Linked DNA regions of Ovis aries. The protein of the gene in region 3 interacts with the protein of the main gene of each other region in a pairwise test. Links are inferred from orthologs where the notes say so. Each region holds a gene or a part of one and is shown on either strand. Other genes may lie near its edges.

Region 1 (4,105 bases), on a different chromosome or scaffold from region 3:
CTGTGGGGTTCACTCGAGACCCAGCCATCCAGACACAGCTGAGGCCCTTCTGCTCCTGGAAGGGAATCCGTCTGAGTGGCGGTTTCAAGTGGACTTGCGTAAACTGGGGCAAAGTTCCCCATCCTTTACGTTTGTATTTGTGGCTCCTCTGTTCTCACTGTGATGTAGTTAACTGATTTTCCACTTGCCCCCAATAAACCAACCCGGTTATCTCACTGCAGTTCTCTTACCTTCTTTCCCACCTCCACTTCTCCTGAGCAGGGGGTTGCTACTCCCTGGCTCCCTCCCCACGGCGTGTGCCTCCCTTCCAGACCCCTAGTCGTGCGTGTCCTTTCCCAGACACACCCCTTTGACAGACTGGACACCACGCTGGGAATTGGTTTCATTTTTCTTTATTTTTTTTAAAAAAGCCCCTAAGTTCTATGGCTTCCAGGAAGCATCAGAGAAACGGAAGTGCCATTTCTGTACACTTTGTAAAGCCAGACCTAGACGCACGCACCGCGAAGACGCCCAAGCTGCTCTGCCCGCAGCTCGCAGCCCCAGGGGACCACTGGGACGGCACTGACGGGGCTGCCCGCTCCACACACACCTGCGGGGCTCGGACGGGCTTTAAGGCGCTTGTCTCCAGGCTCGGCCGGCAGCGCGGAGCGACACAAAAAGCCCGCACACGCGCCGCCCACGGGCCTCGAGGTGGCTGCCCCCAGCCCAAGTTGAGGCCGGCGGCTCCACCGACAGGTGCCAGGACCCCTGAGGGCCGCGCCTGCCAGCCCAGGCTTTGGTGCAGCATTTTGGTTGGGGGCCGCCCCCACCCCGCCTTCCCCTCCAGTCTGGGGAGGCCCAGGGTGGGCTCACCCCCGGCAGCAACGCCCCGCAGCGCCCCCTCGAGAAAACGGCCTTTGGATCGAGGGAGACAAGCTGGACTTTATGACACTAACGGGCGGGCGGTGGTGCCGGCGGCCGCTCTACTCACTCAGCAGACGCGGGCGGGGGCGCAGGGCAGGGCAGCCGCTGTGGTTTCTCTTTTCCTTGTTTTAAATAGTTAATGCTCTCAGAGGGGAGGACTAGACACAGGTGTAGAAATCTCGGCCCAAGTCTTATGTGAGGGTCGTGACCCCGCGCGGGGGGCGGCAGCGCTGCCGGCCTGCAGTCTGCGTCCGGCTGTGGCCAACGAGGCCGTGGACAAGCTGGCCCCGGGGGGCTGCAGCGGGAGGATTCGGGGATCACTGCCCTGGGGGGTCACTTGTGTCGCTGTAGCGATTTTCTCTTTCTCCTTTTGAAGAAACAGCAGCACCTGGAAGGGGGACGCAGGCTGAAAGGGGGCACAAGCTGCGGAAGGGGTGAGGGTGGAGGAGGAGGAGCAAGGGTACGAGGGGGCAGACCCAGGACATCCCTGCTTCCCGACCCAGCTGCGGGCCTTACTTTGTGTCGTCAGCCACCTCCACCTCTGCAGGGGCTGTGATGGGGGCGTTGGAGTGCCCGGCGGTGGGGTCGTCAGCATTCAGCTCCCCGTTGGTGGAGTTAAGTGCCTGCGGGGGGCGGGGGCGGGGAGTCAGGTGGGCCCCGCCTGACACCCCCCCAACACACACACTTTGGTGCGGTCCTTGGCCTGGCACTCACCTGGTTTTTGCTGTAGAGCAAGGCTTTCTCTCGAACCTGAGGCTGCGCGGGCAGGTCAGAGTGAGCCGTGCCGATGGGCGTGGGCTGCAAGGGAGCAAGAGGCAGCTTAGGCTCAGCTGGGGGCCCCTGCCAGCCACCCTCACCTACCAGGGGCCCCTCCCGTGCCAGCCCCCTCCCTCCACGTACCAGGGGCTTCCCGGCCCAGTCGTACTCGTAGTCAAACACGAAGCCGCTGCGGTCAAAGAGATCGGTGAACAGCTTGCGCAGGTAGTCGTAGTCCGGCTTCTCAAAGAAGTCTAGGCGCCGCACGTAGCGCAGATAGGTGGCCATCTCCTCTGCAGACACCAACAGGGCTAGTGGAGGCTCGGGGCAAGGGCACTGGGCAGGGGTATGCAGAGCAAGGGGGCGGGGGTACATGGGGAGACGACTCTCACCTGGGAAGCTCTCACAAAGCACCTCGATGGGCGTGGCCCGCTTGGTGTCCCCGATCTTCTGGTAGCGTTCCTTGAGCGTGTCGGCCTGCAGGGGAGTGGAGTCAGCACTTTGGCCGGCCTGCCCACCCGCGGGAGACCTCCGGCCTGCCCACTCGGCCTGGCCCACCCACCTTGAGCCCCTGCCAGGGCAGGCTGCCGCGCAGAAAGTACATGAACATGTGGCCCAGCGCCTCCAGGTCATCACGGCGACTCTGCTCTGCGGGGGACAGCAGGTCAGCACAGCCCTCCCAACCACCATCCCCTGCCCGGCCCACACACCACTCACTCACCCTTGCCCAGGTGCGTGTTGATGCTCATGTAGCGTGCCGTGCCTGTCAGGCTCTTGTGCTCGCGGTACGGGATGTGCTTCTTGGTCTCGGGGTCGATGTACTCCTTGGCCAAGCCGAAGTCGATGATGTGGATGGCGTGCTGCCGCTTCGTGCCCGGCCGCCCCACTAGGAAGTTCTCCGGCTTCACATCGCGATAGATGAGGCTCTTGGTGTGCACATACTCCATGCGCGTGATCTGCCGGTGCGCGGGCGGTAGGTAGGCCTCAGCCCGCTCTCTGCGCCTCCCACTTCCGCCCCACCCCGCCCCTTCCGCCCCAGCCCGGCCCGCACCAGCTGGATGGCTATCATGAGCACCGTCTTGAGCGTGAACGTGCGGTCGCACAAGTCGAACAGGTCCTCTAGGCTAGGCCCGAGCAGCTCCAGCACCATGGCGTTGTACTTCCCACACGGGCCAAAGTAGTAGACCTGAGGGACGCCCTCTGCGGATGGAGGACACAGACTAGCGCGGTGCCCAGGCGGGCTCCCCCAGCTCCCCCACGCCCGGCCCTGGGGTACCTGCGGCGCTGAGCTGCTTGTAGAAGCGGTACTCCAGGTGCAGCTGCGGTGCCCGGGACTTGATGGGCTCCTGGGAGGGACGAGAGGACGCGTGGGCGGCACGCAGGGTGCAGTCCTGCCCTCCTCCCGCCCCGACCCTGGCCAAGCCCATCGGGACAGCTGCCGCTTGGGGCTAGGGGCAGGTTTTGGACTCACCAATTTGATAGCTACGTATTCATTTGTATAGAGATTCTTTCCTGTGGGAGAAGCAGCACATCAGGCCCGCGGGACTTCCAGCCCATGAGCCCGCGCATCTCCTGTTCCCCTCACAGCCCCCCTTGCGCTGGTCCCCTCCTTCCCAGTCTGGGAGGGAAAAGGATGCCCGCAAGGGGCTCCCCCCGGCTGTGAGCACCCTCACCCATCACCATCCCTAGGCCAACCCTGCCTCCGCCCACTGGGGGCTGCTCCCCTGTCCTCAGCGGGATCCTTCCCGCCAGCACGCCCATGCACTCCAATTTCTCCCACCTAGAAGAGTGAACACAGAACAGAGTCCTGGTGACCCCAAGGCCCTTCTTCAGCTCCGGAGACCTGGAGGAGACATCCACACCACCCTACAACCCGTCTCTGTCCCCAGATGCTCTCTGAGCCCCCATCCATCAAGCCATTTGACCAGCACTCTCCCCTCTCAGTTCTAGGGACCCTCGAGGGAGGCCCCCAACCCACGCCCTGCCTGTAAGTCCAGACAGTTAAGTTGTGAACATCTGCTGGACAAGGCCCACCCCCCCACCCCAACCCCCCCTATCCCCTGCGGTGGAGTAAGGGCCCCAGGGCCAAGAGCCCCTTCCCCAGCCTGAGGCTTCCTGCACAAAGCCCATCAGGAGGAAAGTAAACCTGCATCCTAGGCTTAGAAACTGACATGCCTGGGGCAAGAGGTCTCCCCTAGCCCCTCACCAGCCACCTGGACCTCCAGGTGTGCATTGAGAACCAGCTATACTGCTCAACCTCATAAAACTGCAAACACAAAAGCTCCAGAACCCCTGCCCAGGCCAGCTTTTCACCTGCTAGTTCCCACCCTTGGCTGAACCCCAGATAGCACCCGGGGGTGGTGGCCTGTGTGCATACCCAGCAAGCTGCTGCACCCTCTCTGCCCCTCCCAGCACCACCCGGCCACCCTCTGGGGCCTGAGTGCCA
Region 2 (4,105 bases), on a different chromosome or scaffold from region 3:
AAGGTTTTTAATTCTGAAACCTTCAAAGGAAGAACTTTTAGCTTCTTGGTCTAATTATACTAGTTTTCATTATCATCTAAAAATGTCTATTAATCATAGAATTTGGTCAGTGACAAAATGACTTAAACTTCCATAGTCCTTTTCATCTCTCACACTAGATTAAATAACTCAGTTGAGATTTACTAATAATTAGCCTTTACGTAGTACTTTATTTACTACAGGATCTTCCTTGGTGGCTCAGACGGTAAAGCATCTGCCTACAGTGCAGGAGACCTGGGTTCAATCTCTGGGTCGGGAAGATCTCCTGGAGAAGGGAATGGCAACCCACTCCAGTATTCTTGCCTGGAAAACGCCACGGACGGAGAACCTGGTTAGGCTACAGTCCATGGGGTTGCAAAAAGTAACACCATGCTGCCGCTGCCGCTAAGTCGCTTCAGTCGTGTCCGACCCTGTGCGACCCCATAGACAGCAGCCCACCAGGCTTCCCCGTCGCTGGGATTCTCCAGGCAAAAACACTGGAGTGGGTTGCCATTTCCTTCTCCAATGCATGAAAGAGAAAAGTGAAAGTGAAGTCGATCAGTCCTGATCCCATGGACTGCAGCCCACCAGGCTCCTCCGTCCATGGGAGTTTCCAGGCAAGAGTACTGGAGTGGGTTGCCATTTTCTTCTTCACTATGAAGAAGGGCAAAATACCACAATATTAACAAAGCAAGATGCCAAACCAATTTGGCTAATTGTCAAAGGTCACATTAAAGCAGGAATTTGCCAGAATTAGACACTGGATTGTTACCACCTAATTTCTATACACCTCATCACCTCAAAAACCTATGTTTAAGAATTTTGACAAGAAGTCATGAAGAAAACTAGTATTTACCAGGGTCAGAGAAACGGTATTGACGATCACCTACTTCAACATCCTCACTTTATAGATAAGGAAACTAAAGCCCCAAAAGGTGATATAACTTAATTGTTTAAAGTCACATTTCTAGACAGTGTAAAGCAACAATATGGATTCAGGTCTCTTTAATCCAAGTTCAACTATCTTCAACTTCTAGAGTATAACAGCTATCCTTAACTGCCATTTCACACTTTTGAGTTTATAAAAAAGCCTCAGTGTTTTCACAGATAATTAATAACAATGCATTCAGTAACAAATAATGATCCAGGACCTACTATATGCCAGGTCCTGTACTTGCTGCTAAATGAATATTTACTATATACTGGGCCCAAGGCAATGGCACCCCACTCCAGTACTCTTGCCTGGAAAATCCCATGGGCAGAGGAGCCTGGTAGGCTGCAGTCCATGGGGTTGCTAAGAGTTGGACACAACTGAGCGACTTCACTTTCACTTTTCACTTTCATGCACTGGAGAAGGAAATGGCAACCCACTCCAGTGTTTTTGCCTGGAGAATCCCAGGGACAGGAGAGCCTGGTGGGCTGCCGCCTACGGGGTCGCAGAGTCGGACACGACTGAAGCGACATAGCAGCAGCAGCAGGCCCTCTAAAGAAAGCTGAGCACTGAAGAATTTGATGCTTTTCAACTGCAGTGTTGAAGAAGACTCTAGAAAGTTCCTTAGACTGCAAGGAGATCAAACCAGTCAATCCTAAAGGAAATTCATCCTGAATATTCATGAGGACTGATGCTGAAGCTGAAGCTCCAATACTGTGGCCACCTGATGCGAAGAACTGACTCATTAGATAAGACCCTGATGCTGGGAAAGAATGAAGGCAGGAGAAGGGGATGACAGGATGAGATGGCTGGATGGCATCACCAACTTGATAGATGAGTTTGATGAATCAAGGAGCTGGTGATGAACAGGGAAGCCTGGCGTGCTGTAGTCCATGGGGTTGCAAAGAGGTGGACACGACTGAGTGACTGAACTGAATAAACTTAGGCCCTTTATAACCTGCATTTACACTTTTAATCTTCACATTATTATAAAGTAAGTACCATTATTATCTCTATTTTAAGGATTAAGATTTAGTAAGGTTAAATAACCTGTCCATGGTCTTTGGTAAGGAAATACCTTTATAAAATAAGAAGTAAATGGTGCCTTTCTGCCGCAGGCTATGATGGGCAGCAGTCATGGTTCTGCAGCAGCCTATGGCTGTGGACTTCCAGGTGACCCACAGATCCCAGCAGGTAACCTAACCAAGCAAGCAAGTTAGTGGTACCCTGGCTGGAAGAAGTGACCGGAGGGAAGTGGCTGCAAAGGACTGAGCCCCTTTCTTATTCTGTGCATAATAAAACCTTTACAGGGGAAAAAAATATGGTACAACCTCATTTAAAAAGTTTCTCTTAACAAAAATCTCATTTTCTTTTAAATATTATAACTCTGTGTCTGATTTCATTTGAAAGAGGAATCTATTGGTTAAGAAGTTTGGAAAACCACAGGGCCCTGCATAGCACCTAACTCTGACCACACTGATCATACACCAAGTGCAGAACCTCATATCAGATTAGAGGTTGGGGCTTGATTCTGGAGGCTTTATAGATCTTTTTTTCATTACACTAAGACACCAGAACAGAGAGCATCTGAAGTAATTTAAATGACGGTCAACAGCTAGGAAAGTAATCACTCAAATAAGCAGAAGACAAGCAGAAGGGCTTCTAGTACCATGCAAAGAGTTTTGACCTGAAGAATGTCAACAAGGTCCAAAGTAGAACAATGCACGAGTTCTCCTAAAGCATCACTGGCACGACTGCACTACAGTACTGGTTACCTACTTTCAGAGCATAAAATCTCTGTGGTATAAGATCAAATTAATTAAAAGTTTCATTTATTATCTTCCCAGCAGGAATTCCTTTCTCTTTGATTGCTAAATAGATTTTACAAGGGCTAAGCAAAATACCTAAGGGCTAAGCAGTGCTACTATTACGGAGATTTTATATTAATCTGTGCAAATAAGAGCCTAGTGATAGTCTTAAAAGCAGCAATCTCCCCTACAGTCAACGTATAATGAAAAAACTGGACCATGACATTTTTTTCCTTTAGGAGAATATTAATTTTAACAAGTAGTCTCCTGCTTTGGGAAACATTTGTATAAGAAAACCAAATCAAACAACCATTAAAAAAAAAAATCTACCTTTCCCCATTATATAGTATATTTTATTCTAGCTATAATTTAGTGATATAAATCAGAGACTAAGAAAAATGGCCCTCTAAATAATCAATCATAGCTGAATTAACCACATGCAATATTTCTTTTTTTCCCCACATGCAGTATTTCTAACGTAAGTGGTTACCTGACACGTCTGTCAGAAGTCTTGTTAGGACAGGCTCGTTTACCGGCTCAGTCTTGCTAAGGCTGGAAATAGCCTCTACCCTAGTAGTTTCCTTGATAACAGTGGGCTTCCTGGAAATCTCAAGATCAGATCCAGTCTCGACATCTTTGTGTTCTAGGACATCAGCTGATCTCTGTGGCCAGGAAGATTCTTTAACATTTGTTAAAGTCTGTTTGAATATTTCTTCAGGAGAGTCTCCTTTATCCTGTACAGAAGCTGACTTCTCCACCTTCCTTTCACTCAGTTCTTTAAGTGCTTTGATTGTGAGCTGTTCTTGTTCTAAGTCGAGAGATGCTATTGGAGTACCTTGGGTAGGGAAAACTTCCAGAAGCTTACTCCCATTTATTTCTTTGCTTTGTTCACTGTATTTGCTTTCTTTGTTTTTAATTTCAGAACCACCTGACTTATTCCCATGCAAAACATCTAGAGGAAGAATTGTTTTAAAGTCCTTAGTCTCCTCTGATGTTGCTTCAAAGGTATTGCCTTCACCTATACCTACTATTCCTTTCTCTCTGGTTTCTGTAAAGGCCGCCATCAGGTCCTCTGGGGAAGAATCATCTGGATCTTTCATATTTTTTTCATGCAATGACTCCAAATAGGCAGAGCTTGTCCCACTTTGTGTGAGTTCTGTAGGAGCTGCTTCTGAAGGGAGTTTTGGGTTCTCAGCTGCAACAGGCTTTTCAGGAACAGCTTCATGCTTACTACCTGACTGCTTCACTTCTGGCGTGCCATTCTTATTAGATACTAGTGAACACACTGCTTCACCTGGGCTCCTTTCAAGAGGATCAGGCCGAACTTGTCGTGGCTCAGAGTCACTGA
Region 3 (4,105 bases):
ATATAAAATACATTACTTTAATAATCTTTAGTTTTAGTTTTCCAGAAATAATCCTAATATGAGCTATATATTCCTCCCCTCCATCTACTACTTAAGAAGCAAAATAATTTCTGCAGCCCATTTTCCAGGATCAATTATCTTTAGAAAATAAGCGCCTTCTGATTCTAAATGACTGGTCATTTATTTTCACTGCACATTACAGAGCGACTAATATTTTAAAGTCTATTAAATTTCAGACTCTACTTTAAACCCCCTAAATCAGTAAGTTAAAACAGAATCTTCACTGTTATGCCTTTGAGTAGTTGTCATGTAAATGAAGCCGAAGTCAGAGTCATTAAATATTACATGCCTCAGATAACAAGACTAGCTCAAGAAATACATAACAAAACTGGAAATATTATCAAATATTCAACTCAAAAATTATTTTAAAAAGAAAAATGAAGTACTTACTGAATCATCATGTTTCTTATATAATGTACAAAACTGCTTTTGGTGCATCTCTCCAAAATTTTATTATTGTTTATTCAACATAATATTTGGCAATGTTAAGAATGGAAATAGAGCAGAAGAAGTTAAGAGAAATATTCTCTAATTTAAATATTTAGATTAACAGAGGAAGAAATGGAGTGAAAGGAAACCAATTTAAATGACAATGTTTCTTTGTGTTCTGGGGCATGACCAACAACCTCTCAATAGCTGATGCTCAGCAATTTTTCCCTGATGTCAGATAATCCATTTAGATCATGTTCACTTTTGAGTCTTAACACAGACTAATAACATACTTTCCATTCTCCTATTACTGTCGCAGGAAACCGATTCATATTTGGTCACTCATTTATTTCCTCTAGAGACTAGATACTAGAAAAACATTGAATAGATTTGAGTACTTTCTTCTCCAGACTTACTATATATCGCCATCAAACATAATGTTTTGGATATTTTTCAGGTTTGTTTTTGCATCCATTTCTGCTTTAAAGCAGAAATGTTTAAATAATCTGATTTACTTTTCGAATACATGAAATTCGTGATTAATAAAGTCTTTGAATCTTTTTGTGCAACTTAATTTCCTGCCAAATTTTACTTTACAGAGTATTTTGTATGTCTCTGTTCAAACTACGCTGGAATCCTGTTGGGATTAAAAGATATTTACCTTGTGCGTTTGATAAATGATGATTGCATTATCAGCTAATGTTTCCACCACATGAAAGTTTTCTATAGTTGCTACAATGAAGAGAAAATGTTAGCAGTCAAAACAATGTGTTACCGTTTCCCAGTATGTGACTAATTCACTTACATTATACACAGACATTATAGTAAAATGAACAGGATCTTGCTCTACCGAGGCTACATCCACATGGAAGGGAGTTTGTATTCATACAGTATTAGGGGTTATAGATGGTGGCAATGAGATCTAATCACCAGGAAACCTAATTTTTTTTGGCCCAGTATCCAGCTCCCACTGCAAGAAAGCAATTCTAATCATGGCTTCATTACTAGGGCACAAATTATTCCCTAACACCATGACCTCTTCCCTCTCTTGTCATCCTTAATTTATCGGAGCTGAATAAGCTGTTCACCTAGGTTTAGGTGACTGTAAGCCTGAGGAGAACACACCCCCCTCCCCTGACACCACTCCCCTCACAGCCCCCTCTTAATCTACAATTTATCACATAAACAGTATAGAAGGAAAAAAAGATGATAAAATAGAAACCTTTTATTTTAGCCTTGGCTTTTCCACTAACTAGTTCTGTGGTCTTTAACGTGTCACTTAGGCTATCTGAATTTTACTTTATTACCTACCTATCACACAGGACTGTAGTGGATTAATGCTGTAACTCACTGAGAAGCATTTTGTACAATGAAAAGCTCAGGTATTATCAGTCCCCTGGATGATTCTCCAGGTAGTTTCCATAACTATCTGGAGTTTTTATGACTTTGGAAACTATAGCTCAGATTAAGAAGGCCAGGTTAGATTTGGTATTTAATTTAAAATTAAAAACTATCAAAATATAGTAATGGCAGCTTACTTTCCCAATCATTGCGAACATCAACATTCCAGAAGTAATTGCAGACCTCGTGTCCTGTAACGCCTTTAACTGCATGGGTAGCTTTCAAAGGATCCAGAACAATCCCATTTTCTTCTACTTCTCTTCTATATACCTAGAGGATATATTTTAAAACATGTTTAAAAACACTTATGCAACATAAACATTCTGCCAAAAGAAAAATTAAAATTTCAAATTATTAACAAAGACAATACAAAAAAATATTTAATACTACAATGCCAAAGTATGTATATGTAATGAGTGAGAGCTACAAATACATCCATTTAAATTAGACATTATTTACTGAACATTCTCAAAGACCATTCGTCATGGCTAAGAAGGCCAAATACAGCTGGTTAGAACATTATCTCCTAAGGGATAATATGTTCACTGCTGTATCCCCATCACCTAGAACAGTATCTGAAACATGAAGGCACTCAATTATTTGTTGAACCAATGATGGAATGCTAACATCGCATAAAGATCAATGATATCTTGCTTTTAAATACTGAGGTTGCATGCCTTAAGATCTGTCTTGCTTTAAATACTGAGACTGTATAAACTCTTGAATAAAATTAATTACTTCAAAATTATAGAGGATTTGGTACTTTAGACAGCTCTGGAGTAAGTTCTTTGAAAAATAATCAGGTTATCACAGAGGAAACCAGCTCTCAATTTATGGAGTGCCTATGGGGCTGGACACTGTCAGGCATTTCACCTAATTTCTCTCCAAAGTACCTTTCCTTACACATTTATTTATGTTATTGGGACTGATAATATTTTTCCAGTAACCAAAACTGGAAACTCTAGACTTTTGATTTCCTCCCTTACATTGCACATGGGTTTTAAGCTTCTTAGTAATCTGTAAGACATCCAAAACTTGACTTTTCTACTATTGTGTATCTTTTTAAGGTATGTTTTCATCACCTTGTACCTGAATCTCCTAAGTGGTCTCTAGTTTCATATCCCTATGAGCCTAGTCCTTCTAAAATGTCACTCTGTATACAGTGGCTAGCTCACTGCTACAGACAATAACACATTCTGTTTGTGGGTTATTTTATACACCGCATAAACCAGCCCCAGCGACTCTCTCTCTAAAGCGGTAGGAGCACTTCTTCTCTACCGCTCACTTCAGGTGAAGGACCTCCACTCAGACAGTGACTCCCGGCTTCTCCTCACCCTTTCACTTCCCCCTCCTTGCCGGGGAAACAGGGACACCTGAATGGTGGACACAGGAGAGTCAGGCAGGCTTGGCTGAACCCCTTCTCCTGTGGGCAGGATGTATGCTGGTCTGCTTCTGGGGCTCGCTCTTGTGGGGGAAGGCCTCTGATTACCTAGTTATGTCAGAACTATTATGTTTCATTCTGGGGTAACGTACTAGTAAGGCCTCGTGACAGCTGGTCTTTCTGTTCTCTAACCATTCTCTAACCAGACTGCCAGCATTCTAATTAACACGCTGGTCTCTCATTTGCTTACCTCCTCTATTTCTTAATTTGTTCCCTATTCAGGAGGAGAGTAAATTCCAACATCTAATACTGTATCTCACTTGTGAGAATAACTGTGGTCAAAAATCTGTACAAAACTCCTGAATATAAATGCCCTCGCCTCACCTTTGTGAGAACCTTGTTTCCATTTCTAGTCATAGTCCTTGATGTAAAACAATCTGTCTCAAATCTGAGATCTCTTTCAATTTTCCTCCACTGTTCACCTGTACTTTTCATTTAATATTATCTGGTAGAGCTAAATAGTTCTATCTTTTAAATGTCAATATCCTCCTTCCAACCAAAGTTTCAGCTTGGAGGGAGTCTTATTAAATATCTGTTTATCTTTAGCATTGTGCCTTGGGCATGAAGTAATCCAAAATTCAACGATACTGTTGTTGGTTTTCAACTGAACACTCAGTCTCTTGTCCCTTGCTCTTACTCTCTTACGCTAGGGATATGAGCAAGATTAGCTAATCAATGTCCAAAAAAAAGAAGCAGTGAGAGAAAGAACAAGAAGTGAGGTACAGACCAAAGAGGGAAAAAAGTTAACACCTGGGCACAACATTCAGTATATTT
Region 4 (4,105 bases), on a different chromosome or scaffold from region 3:
CAGCTTATACAAGAAATAAAATCCTAAGGCTGTCTGTCAAACTACAAGCTATAACTTTGCCACCTTGACCTCACAAATTAGACTCAAAGCCTTAGATACATATAAGTTGTACAGAATCAATGATCCAAATGTTAAGAAGAAAATTTTTGGCAACTCACACTTTAGGTCTGACTGAAATTGACTACTATGTCTTAACATGAAAATACTGCACTACTGTCAAAGTCCAGTACGCCTAGCTTTAGTGTAAAAAAAGTGCAGATTTTAAATACTTACTTAGCCACGGCATCTTTAACATTCTTATTTGCAAGTCCTAGATAATGATCTATTTGCGCCTGAAAGAGATAAAGAATTTATTAGAAAATCACCATGGCTAACAAATCTTAGAACTGTGTTCCAACATATTAAAGGCTTAAAACTGCCACATTTCTCGTTTTTCATAAGGTTTTGGAAACTGGCACTGACATTTCTAAGTTCCACATAAGAGAATGAGGTTTGTATTCTGAAATCTACAGTTAAATTACCTGATGCCGTTCATAAATAACAGGAACACTGAAGAGTGAAATCAGAGCTGAAAAAGGAAATACACAGGCTTTAAAGTAGATTGCAGTGTTTGTTCCCTAAATCATACCTAAGTCATCAAACTGGCAGCACTCTTAAGAGCCAGGAATGTTCCTACTACAGGGAGACACAGCTGCTGGTGGACAGAGGAATGAATTAACCAAGGGAGCCAGGAGCCACTCCTGGCTTCACATTACAGACTTTATAAAATATAGGCATCCCTAGTTAGTTAGACATATGAAATAAAATCAAATAAGGCCACTCTTGATCTGGTTTATCACTGTTGGAGTAGTCTTCAGGAAGTAAGTGGCATTTCCATAAATAGTATAATTATTAGCAATTTATTTACGGTCACAACCTCTAGTGTATATCCCTCTATTTTTTTCTACAGTATAAGAATATTTTCCACTAAAACATCTTGAAGTTCGTTGCACACCTTTTTTTTTTTTTTTCGCTGTGCTGTGCAGTATGCAGGATCTTGGTTCCCACACTAGGGATCAAACCCATGGCCTCTGCAGTGGAAAAATGGAGTCTTAACCACTGGTCTGCCAGGAAGTCCCCAATCTTTTAAAAAATTTTTCATTCTATTGGTTTTGTAGACTTACCCAAAATTAGTAGTGTCAGACCATTGAACAAGGCACCAACATAGGTAAATACCCACATCAACACTGCAAACTGTAAGAGAATAACAGCCAATTAAAGACAAAATTCAAGTCAAGTTTTTAAATTAAATCTTCAAATAAATATATCCCATGTAAATGCCAAACTACTATAGGCATACTCCTTGGAGATTGGGTAAAAACAATATGGATATTTCACTAAGCTGCCAGGCTCGATTCAGGAATTTCAGGATCTAATTAAAACAGTTACTAGATAGGATTCATTTTCCTCTGAAGTACATTACCAAATAGTTGATTCTGTTTCCTCTAAAATCAGAAAGCCCCTCCAGCTCTACTATAGTATTCAACTTCTAAAATGGGAAGACTGGAAAGCTATCGTGAGAATTAACTATTGAAAATGATTTTCAAGTACCAACAAGTGATTCAAGATTTACATGAGCTGAATGACTCAGACATATATCTGAATAAGCAATAATGGCGCAAGGAGACTATGTCTCAAGCACCCAAGATATCAGCTCTAACATTTTATTAAGGATCAGAAGGACTTTCTCTCCAGTAATAAATGTTTTAACAGCCAATGAGGAGGACTCAAACTTTTAAACCTAATAATAAAATTGACCATTATTATTCTTTTAGCCACTGCCTTCTTTATTTAGCAAACACTAACCCAGTTCTTACTATTGATGTATTAGTACCACACACTGTTTTAAGTGCTTTACAAATACAAATTCATGTATTCCTCCTAGCAATTTTACGAGGTGGGCACTGCTATCATTACCACAGCAGATGAAGACACTAAGGAAAAAACAGAGGTTTAGGAACTTGCTAGAACTGAGGTTATACTGTCATATTTCACTGTGCCCTCCAGGGACTGCTGCTGCTGCTAAGTTGCTTCAGTCGTGTCCAACTCTGTGCGACCCCATAGATGGCAGCCCACCAGGCTCCCCCGTCCCTGGGATTCTCCAGGCAAGAACACTGGAGCGGGTTGCCATTTCCTTCTCCAATGCATGAAAGTGAAAAGTGAAAGTGAAGTCACTCAGTCATGTCTGACTCTTAGCGACCCCATGGACTGCAGCCTACCAGGCTCCTCCGTCCAAGGGATTTTCCAGGCAAGAGTACTGGAGTGGGGTGCCACTGCCTTCTCCTCCCAGGGACTGCAGTGCAGACTAAATACTCCTATTTTAGTAAGCCTCATCTCAAAATCTTCAATTAAAAAAAATCATTAAATATAGCAGTTTGGGAAAAGCCTTGTTTCTGTAAAGTGCTTTCATTTTGAGAAGTCCTTTATTTCCTCACCATATTATAGTTTACTCATGAATGGCTGAATAAGAGGATTTCAAAGTTTTCTTCCAGTTCTTGGTGACACCATATAGTAAAAACTCAGTGATATGTTCAAGCAGTTCTTGAAGACTTATAAACACCAAGTCAGTCTGGATTTTATTAAACATTCAGCAGAAGCAGTTTCTCTGTTTCCTAGTAAAAGCCTTCATATGTCTGGCAATCTCTCTGCCCTGTTTAGTAGGTCACAAACATCCCACCACGATGCCACCACCGACAATTATTTCGGTTTCTAAGAGCAAAGTATAAATGAAAAGGAGAGAGGAGTGAGCACCTCCATTATCTAAAAAAGGGATCAGCAAACTTTCTGTAAATAAAGACAGAAAACAAACATTTTTGGTTTTATGGGCCACAAAGGATCTCTGTCACATATTCTTTGAATATTATCCTTTAAAACCGTAAAAAGTATAATCAGCTCCCAGACTGTACAAAAACAGGTCACAAGCCAGACCGAACAGTAGCTTCCTAACTCTTATCTAAAGCAAATATCTTTGTCCATGTAGCATTCATTCAGCAAAATCTGATTGAATACCTACTATGAGCTGGGTGCATGCTAAGTCGCTTCAGTCGTGTCCGACTCTGCGACCATATGGACTGTAGCCTACCAGGTGGGTTGCCATGAGCTGGGTACTGAGCCGTAATTAAAGTATTCAGACTCTAGGAAGTTTATTTACTGCAGGTTAGGAAGAATCTTGGATTCCTGCACCAACTGTCAGTTCTACAAAGAGCAACACTTTGGTTACCCCTGTAACTGAATTTAATGTTCAAGTGAGCAAATATCAAGCATTCTTAACAGCTGCCAAGTGCAAATCAAAAATTAAATGCTGTCCTGGTCTTTGCAACTTCTATGGAACCTCTGGCAGAAGGGTTTGAAGTGTGACTCCAGTTAGCAAGCCCTTTCCCTCTCGCATAGTTCTACAGACTCCTATTGCAAAAGCTAAATATAACTCCTGCACTTGAGCAAGTTTACCATAGAGCAACAGTTATTTTCATCCATCTCCATCCACCAAGTCAGGAAGAGAAGGGTCAACCTACGTTTTAGGAGAAATTGCTTTAGCAATAAAGATACCCTTACCATGACAAAATTCAGAAACTAACACACAAGCTAAACATAAGTCCTAATCTGGTCATAAAGTCACTGACAAGGCTGCACTCTAAATCCATAAAAAAAGAGAAGCCCAAGTCTTCACACCAAGGTGATGTAGGGGGTTCAGATGTCATTAGATCTGCCTCTTGCAGGACATGTTCTAAAAGCCCGATGATCCAGGTGCAGAGAGAAATGGAGGGAGGCTTCAGACCTCTGTGGGGGCAGGCTGGTGACACAAATGCCTGAGGGAGTCTCGGTGAGGACCAAGGCAGATATGTGCCTTTTACCTCTCAAGAAGCACCTGCAATCCAGCTCCACAAGTAAACGTTCCAGGCCAGTGCCGCCATGTTTCCCCATTTTAGGAGAGAAATCCAGAAATTCACATTTTTATGTGCTATCACAGAATTTACAAATGTTGCAGCTAAGTCTGGAGAAAATTTAACACTTCAGGGCCCCAAACAAAAATACTGGGTAAGGGTTTCCAGAGAGGACTCCATCAGAA
Region 5 (4,793 bases), on a different chromosome or scaffold from region 3:
TCCTGGCCCGCGAACTCCAGCGTCTTTGTCCCGGGCCGCAGCGGGCGGCCCAGGTGGAAGGGCTGCACGCGGGTCAGGCCACAGCCTGAGTCCACCACCACGCCCGTCAGCAGGCCGGACGAGTACAGCGACATCTCCAGCTGGTCGGCCAGAAGCACAGACGGCACATCCAGCAACTCGAACATGATCTGCAGGAGGGGAGCAGACAGAACTCAGCGCGCCCCCCAGGGCAGTGCCAGCAGAGTGCTCACCCTGGGGGGACTCGGGAAGGGTCCTGGAGGGTCAGAAAAAGCCAGGCTGGCCCTTGGGAGCTGCTTGACGATGGCCTTTCAGAAGACCGTTCTGGCGGAGGGGCAGGGAGAGCCTCAGCATGTGCGCGCAGGCGCTGAGACGCCTGGCTGTGTGAGCAGCCCGGCGCAAGTGGGGCAGGTCCAGCGCGGGAGCTGCAGCCGGAGCTATTTGTTTCCCAATTTTTAAACTTTTGGCCGTGCCGGGTCTCTGCCGCACAGGCTTGTCTCTAGCTGTGGAGATCGGGCTACGCGCCAGCTGCAGGGCGCCTCTCACTGTGGCGGCCTCTCTGCTTGTGGGGCACGGGCTCTCGGGGGCTCGGGCTCAGTGGTTGCGGCTCCCGGGCTCCAGAGCAGAGGCTCAGTCGCTGCGGGTCACGGGCCTGGCTGCTCCGCAACACATGGGGCCTTCCTGGCCCAGAGATGGAACCTGTGTCTCCTGCACTGGCAGGCGGATTCTTCACCACCGAGCCAGCAGGGAGGCCCCTGAACCATTTTTTCATAAGACGGAAGTGATGAGAGAAGAAAGCCATGCTGCACACAGACCACTGCCTCCTGAAAGGAGGGGCAGCAGGAAGGGAAGGCGGGGGGCGGGGGGCAAGGGAGACACGCTAACCTCCTGACACGTGAAGTCCGTTTTTTAAGATAAACACTTTCCAAACACCAAGACAAAGCTGGAATTCTGATCTTTAGAGCTTGGCAAGTCCCCCGGCTGATTTTTCCTCTGCCTGTCACCCCCACAGTCTTTACAGAGCACCCCACCCCCTCCTCCCCAACCGCCCAGCCCAGGCTGCATCCCCAGGGCTCTGACACCACAGATGCAGAAAGGCTCCAACGGCCCAGCTCTGTAGCCCCTGTAACCTCTGGCCACCGAGCCGCCTTTGCAGGCCTGCAGGCCCACCTTCTCCCCTCAGTGGGAGGGAGCTCCGTCCATTCCTATGTTCAGAATATTGCCCCTTTACCATCCACTCCCCATACAGAAGCCAAGGTCCTCTTTTTCAAAAAAAAAATCAAATGCAAACCCCACACTCCACTTAAAGCTCTCCAGGAGCTCCATATTCACTCAGAGCAGAGGCTGGCAAACATTTTCTATAAATGGTTCAGGGTGTCAGATGTAACAAATAAAAATACAAGATACCCAATTAAATCTGAATTTCAGATGGACAACAAATAATGCTTCACTATGTCCTAGGACTTCCCTGGCGGCTCAGACGGTAAAGCGTCTGCCTACAACATAGGAGACTTGGGTTCGATCCAGGTCAGGGTCAGGAAGATCCTCTGGAGAAGGCAATGGCAGCCCACTCCAGTACTCTTGCCTGGAAAATCCCATGGACGGAGGAGCCTGGTAGGGTGCGGTTCATGGGGTCGCAAAGACCTGGACGTAACTGAGCGACTTCACTTTGCTTCACTGTTTATCCTATGCAGTGTTTGATACACTGAAATATTATTTGCTGTGATGGGAAATTCCAATCTACCGTGTATTTTATCTAGCAGACCCACAACGGTAAGTACTCTTCGGGCTTTACGAGCCACAGTCTCTTTCCAACTACTCAGTTCTGGGCTGCAGGGTGAAAGCAGCCGTTTAGGTGATGTGTAAATGAGCGGGCGTGGGTACGTTTCAATAAATCTTTATTTATAAAGACAGATGGTAAGCCACACTTGACCAACTGGCTATAGTTTGCTAACCTTCGGTTCAGAATAAAATCCAACCACGTCCCACAGCCTACCAGACCTATGAGATCCAGCCCCTGGCTCCCTGTTATCACCCTCCCTAGTTTGCTGGGCTCCAGCCTCCCAGAGAAGGCCTCCCTGATCACCATCTTCCAAGGGGCTCCCCTTCTTTCCCTCAGTCAGTTTCACCCCATTGCATTTTGGTTTTAGAACTGATTACTACCTGGAATTTTGTTAACTTCCTCACCATCAAGCATTCCTCCAGCACATAAGCTCTTTGAAGACCAGAAGGTTCTCTGTGAACATTTAGGGAGCCCGTGAGCGCCCGGAGCCCCTCCGCACAGCAGCCTGTTCACAGCGCGCTGGCCTGCTGCCTCCTGCCCCGGGGGCCTCTGTGAGCCCCCCTTGCCTAACGTGAGTGCTGGGCACACACGGGGCAGTCAGTATTCACAGGGTGAATGCCTCAGAGGGCGGAGCTCCCGCACCCACGCGGGTCTGAACACAGTGTCAGGCCCGCTCCCTGGATGGGCAGCCCAGAGAAGCCCTTACCTCCAGGGTCTTCTGACGGTCCACGGGCTCCTTGACGGGGCTCTCTGTGACGATCACAGGGAAGTCCCCATGCTCCAGCCGGTGCTTCTCCAGGATAAACGACCAGATGTGCTCCACACCCTCCCAGTTGATGACGCGGCCCCGCTGCACGGGGTAGCTGAAGGTGTCGGGTCGGCAAATGTCAATGCCAAGACTCACGCGCCGCCGAGCGTAGCTGGGGCCCGGGTTCTCCCGGCAGGGGATGTAGTTCACGACACTGGGCAAGACCAGCTGCGGCTCATTCCAGCCCGACAAGCCAGCCTTCAGAAAGGCAGAGCCGTGGTCGATGATGATGGTTCTCGCAGACATGGTGGAGGCGGGGGAGGTCTGCCCACGGGCTCCGCAGGCGAGTCTGGCCACCTGTGGAGGCAGAGGACGGGGCGATTATGAGCCACTCTAGGCCGCCACTGGCTTCTCCACCCCACAGTCAAACCTCAGGCTCCCCTGAATTCATCTGCTCCCCTTTCCGGGCCTTTGAGCAAGCTGCAACCTGCACCCAAACCCCCCTTCCATAAAGGCCACCTCCCAGGCCCCACCTGGACGTCCAGCCGACCCACTTGCCCCCGCTTCCCAACCTTCTCCTCTTGCACTCGCCACACCTGTCCACACCAACTGGGCATTTCTGCTCCCAGAGGCCCTCTCACAGCCTGCAGACTCCTAAGAAGCTTGTCACACAGGGTGGGCTTGGCGGACTTTGGCTGCCTGACTGAGGACACGTGGAAGACGAAGCTTCAGCTGCAGGGGCCGCCGCCCTCGATAACAGTGAGACCACAGGAGCAGCGAGAGGAACAGCGAGGACGATGACGACCGCGGCAACCGCCTCTGCAGCGGACGCTCTCCTGCCTACCTAGCGCTGCGAGGCTGAGCTTCAGGTTGGGTGAGGCAAGACAGTCATGTGTGTCCATCAGAAATGATCAAATATCAACAATTTCAGAGCTTGACCCAACAAACGGTCCCCTTTCGTTTTCACCACCGTCTATACCATTTCACTTTCACCACAGTCTATTTGGCAAGTACCATCATGATACTCATTGACAGGTACGGAAGCTGAGGCATACGGAGATTAAAACCAGGGCCACACAACCAATAAAACCAGGGCTGAGACTTAAACCCAAACCAAAATCCAGAGAACACGGCGAGCATCAGGCCAGGCCGCTGAGAAGACACAGGGTTGGAGTATGTGCTGAGCATCTAACAGACTATATACAAGAGGCTGTGAGTGAGGCAGCTAACCAGGATTGCGGTCGGTGTCCGCATCTGTAGAGTGAGGGCAATTAAGAAAAACACACATGTGCTGAGGAGGTAGGCGTGGCCACCAGCCGATTTTCAGACTTGACTATAAAAATAAACTAGCCAAGACTATGCGGTATTGGTGAGAGGATAATCACAGAGACCTAAAGGACAGGGCGGAGAGCCCAGAGGTGAATCCACACAGAAAATGTCACCTGACCTTCGACAAGGTGCAGAAACAATGACATAAGCAGAGAGTCTTTACAGTAAACGGCGGGAACAGCCGCAGATCCCCATGCAGAAAAATCTCGACTCCACATCTCATATTGTGTCCAAAATTAACTCAAAATAGATCATAAACCTAAATATCAGACCTAAAACCATACAAGTTTTGAAAGAAAACACAGCAGAAAAATCATTGTGATCTCAAAAGTTTTCTAAGATACAACATTAATAGCCTGATTCATAGAAGAGCAAATTGAGAGGTTGGGCTTCATCAAACTCAAGAACATTTGCTCTTCAAAAGAAACTAATAAGAGGATAACCCATATAAGATACAGACTGGGAGACAATAGTTACAAACCACATACCTGATAAAGGACTTTTACCCAAGAAATATAAAGGACTCACAAAGCCCAATAATAGGAAAATAACCCAATTTCTTAGAGGGGTGAAAGATTTAAACACCTCACAAAAGACAATATACGAATGGCAGATATACACATGCAACGGTGCTCAACGCCATCAGGAAAATGAGAGCTTAAAACACGACGACCCCACTGCACCCCTATGAGCACGACCAAAGTCGAAGCTTGACTACACCAAGAGCTGGCAAGGAGGCGGAGGGACCAGAGCCCTCACGCACACTGTCGGGGAATGCGAGACCGTGCTCCCACCTTAGGAAACAGCCTGGCCGCTTCTCAGAGAGTTAAATATACATCTACCACACAGCCGAGTGTTTCTACTCCAAGGATTCACCCAAGGGAAACAAAAGCTTGTTTGTACCAAAAACACATG

What was found.
Region 1: the proteins of CERT1 (region 3) and CSNK1G2 interact in binary tests that used the Homo sapiens proteins (3 or more experiments, as listed by UniProt). The two-hybrid records come from large-scale screens. The link is inferred for Ovis aries from reciprocal best matches to the Homo sapiens genes CERT1 and CSNK1G2.
Region 2: the proteins of CERT1 (region 3) and RTN3 interact in binary tests that used the Homo sapiens proteins (3 or more experiments, as listed by UniProt). The link is inferred for Ovis aries from reciprocal best matches to the Homo sapiens genes CERT1 and RTN3.
Region 4: the proteins of CERT1 (region 3) and RTN4 interact in binary tests that used the Homo sapiens proteins (3 or more experiments, as listed by UniProt). The link is inferred for Ovis aries from reciprocal best matches to the Homo sapiens genes CERT1 and RTN4.
Region 5: the proteins of CERT1 (region 3) and ACTL8 interact in binary tests that used the Homo sapiens proteins (3 or more experiments, as listed by UniProt). The two-hybrid records come from large-scale screens. The link is inferred for Ovis aries from reciprocal best matches to the Homo sapiens genes CERT1 and ACTL8.

The regions. Positions count from the first base shown.
Region 1 is NC_056058.1:41,931,069-41,935,173, reverse strand, and holds the end of CSNK1G2 (casein kinase I), read right to left. Parts: intron 3,172-4,105; coding exon 3,131-3,171; intron 3,006-3,130; coding exon 2,936-3,005; intron 2,860-2,935; coding exon 2,711-2,859; intron 2,616-2,710; coding exon 2,381-2,615; intron 2,308-2,380; coding exon 2,222-2,307; intron 2,137-2,221; coding exon 2,052-2,136; intron 1,971-2,051; coding exon 1,804-1,970; intron 1,702-1,803; coding exon 1,618-1,701; intron 1,527-1,617; coding exon 1,420-1,526; intron 1,292-1,419; coding exon 1,237-1,291; 3' UTR 377-1,236; downstream 1-376. UniProt on the Homo sapiens protein: Serine/threonine-protein kinase. Casein kinases are operationally defined by their preferential utilization of acidic proteins such as caseins as substrates. It can phosphorylate a large number of proteins. Participates in Wnt signaling.
Region 2 is NC_056074.1:38,530,203-38,534,307, reverse strand, and holds part of RTN3 (reticulon-3), read right to left. Parts: coding exon 3,248-4,105; intron 1-3,247. UniProt on the Homo sapiens protein: May be involved in membrane trafficking in the early secretory pathway. Inhibits BACE1 activity and amyloid precursor protein processing. May induce caspase-8 cascade and apoptosis.
Region 3 is NC_056060.1:6,790,281-6,794,385, forward strand, and holds part of CERT1 (ceramide transfer protein), read right to left. Parts: intron 2,161-4,105; coding exon 2,028-2,160; intron 1,222-2,027; coding exon 1,151-1,221; intron 1-1,150. UniProt on the Homo sapiens protein: Shelters ceramides and diacylglycerol lipids inside its START domain and mediates the intracellular trafficking of ceramides and diacylglycerol lipids in a non-vesicular manner.
Region 4 is NC_056056.1:69,034,567-69,038,671, reverse strand, and holds part of RTN4 (reticulon-4), read right to left. Parts: intron 1,234-4,105; coding exon 1,164-1,233; intron 569-1,163; coding exon 522-568; intron 333-521; coding exon 274-332; intron 1-273. UniProt on the Homo sapiens protein: Required to induce the formation and stabilization of endoplasmic reticulum (ER) tubules. They regulate membrane morphogenesis in the ER by promoting tubular ER production.
Region 5 is NC_056055.1:248,512,726-248,517,518, forward strand, and holds the start of ACTL8 (actin-like protein 8), read right to left. Parts: upstream 2,902-4,793; 5' UTR 2,856-2,901; coding exon 2,508-2,855; intron 189-2,507; coding exon 1-188.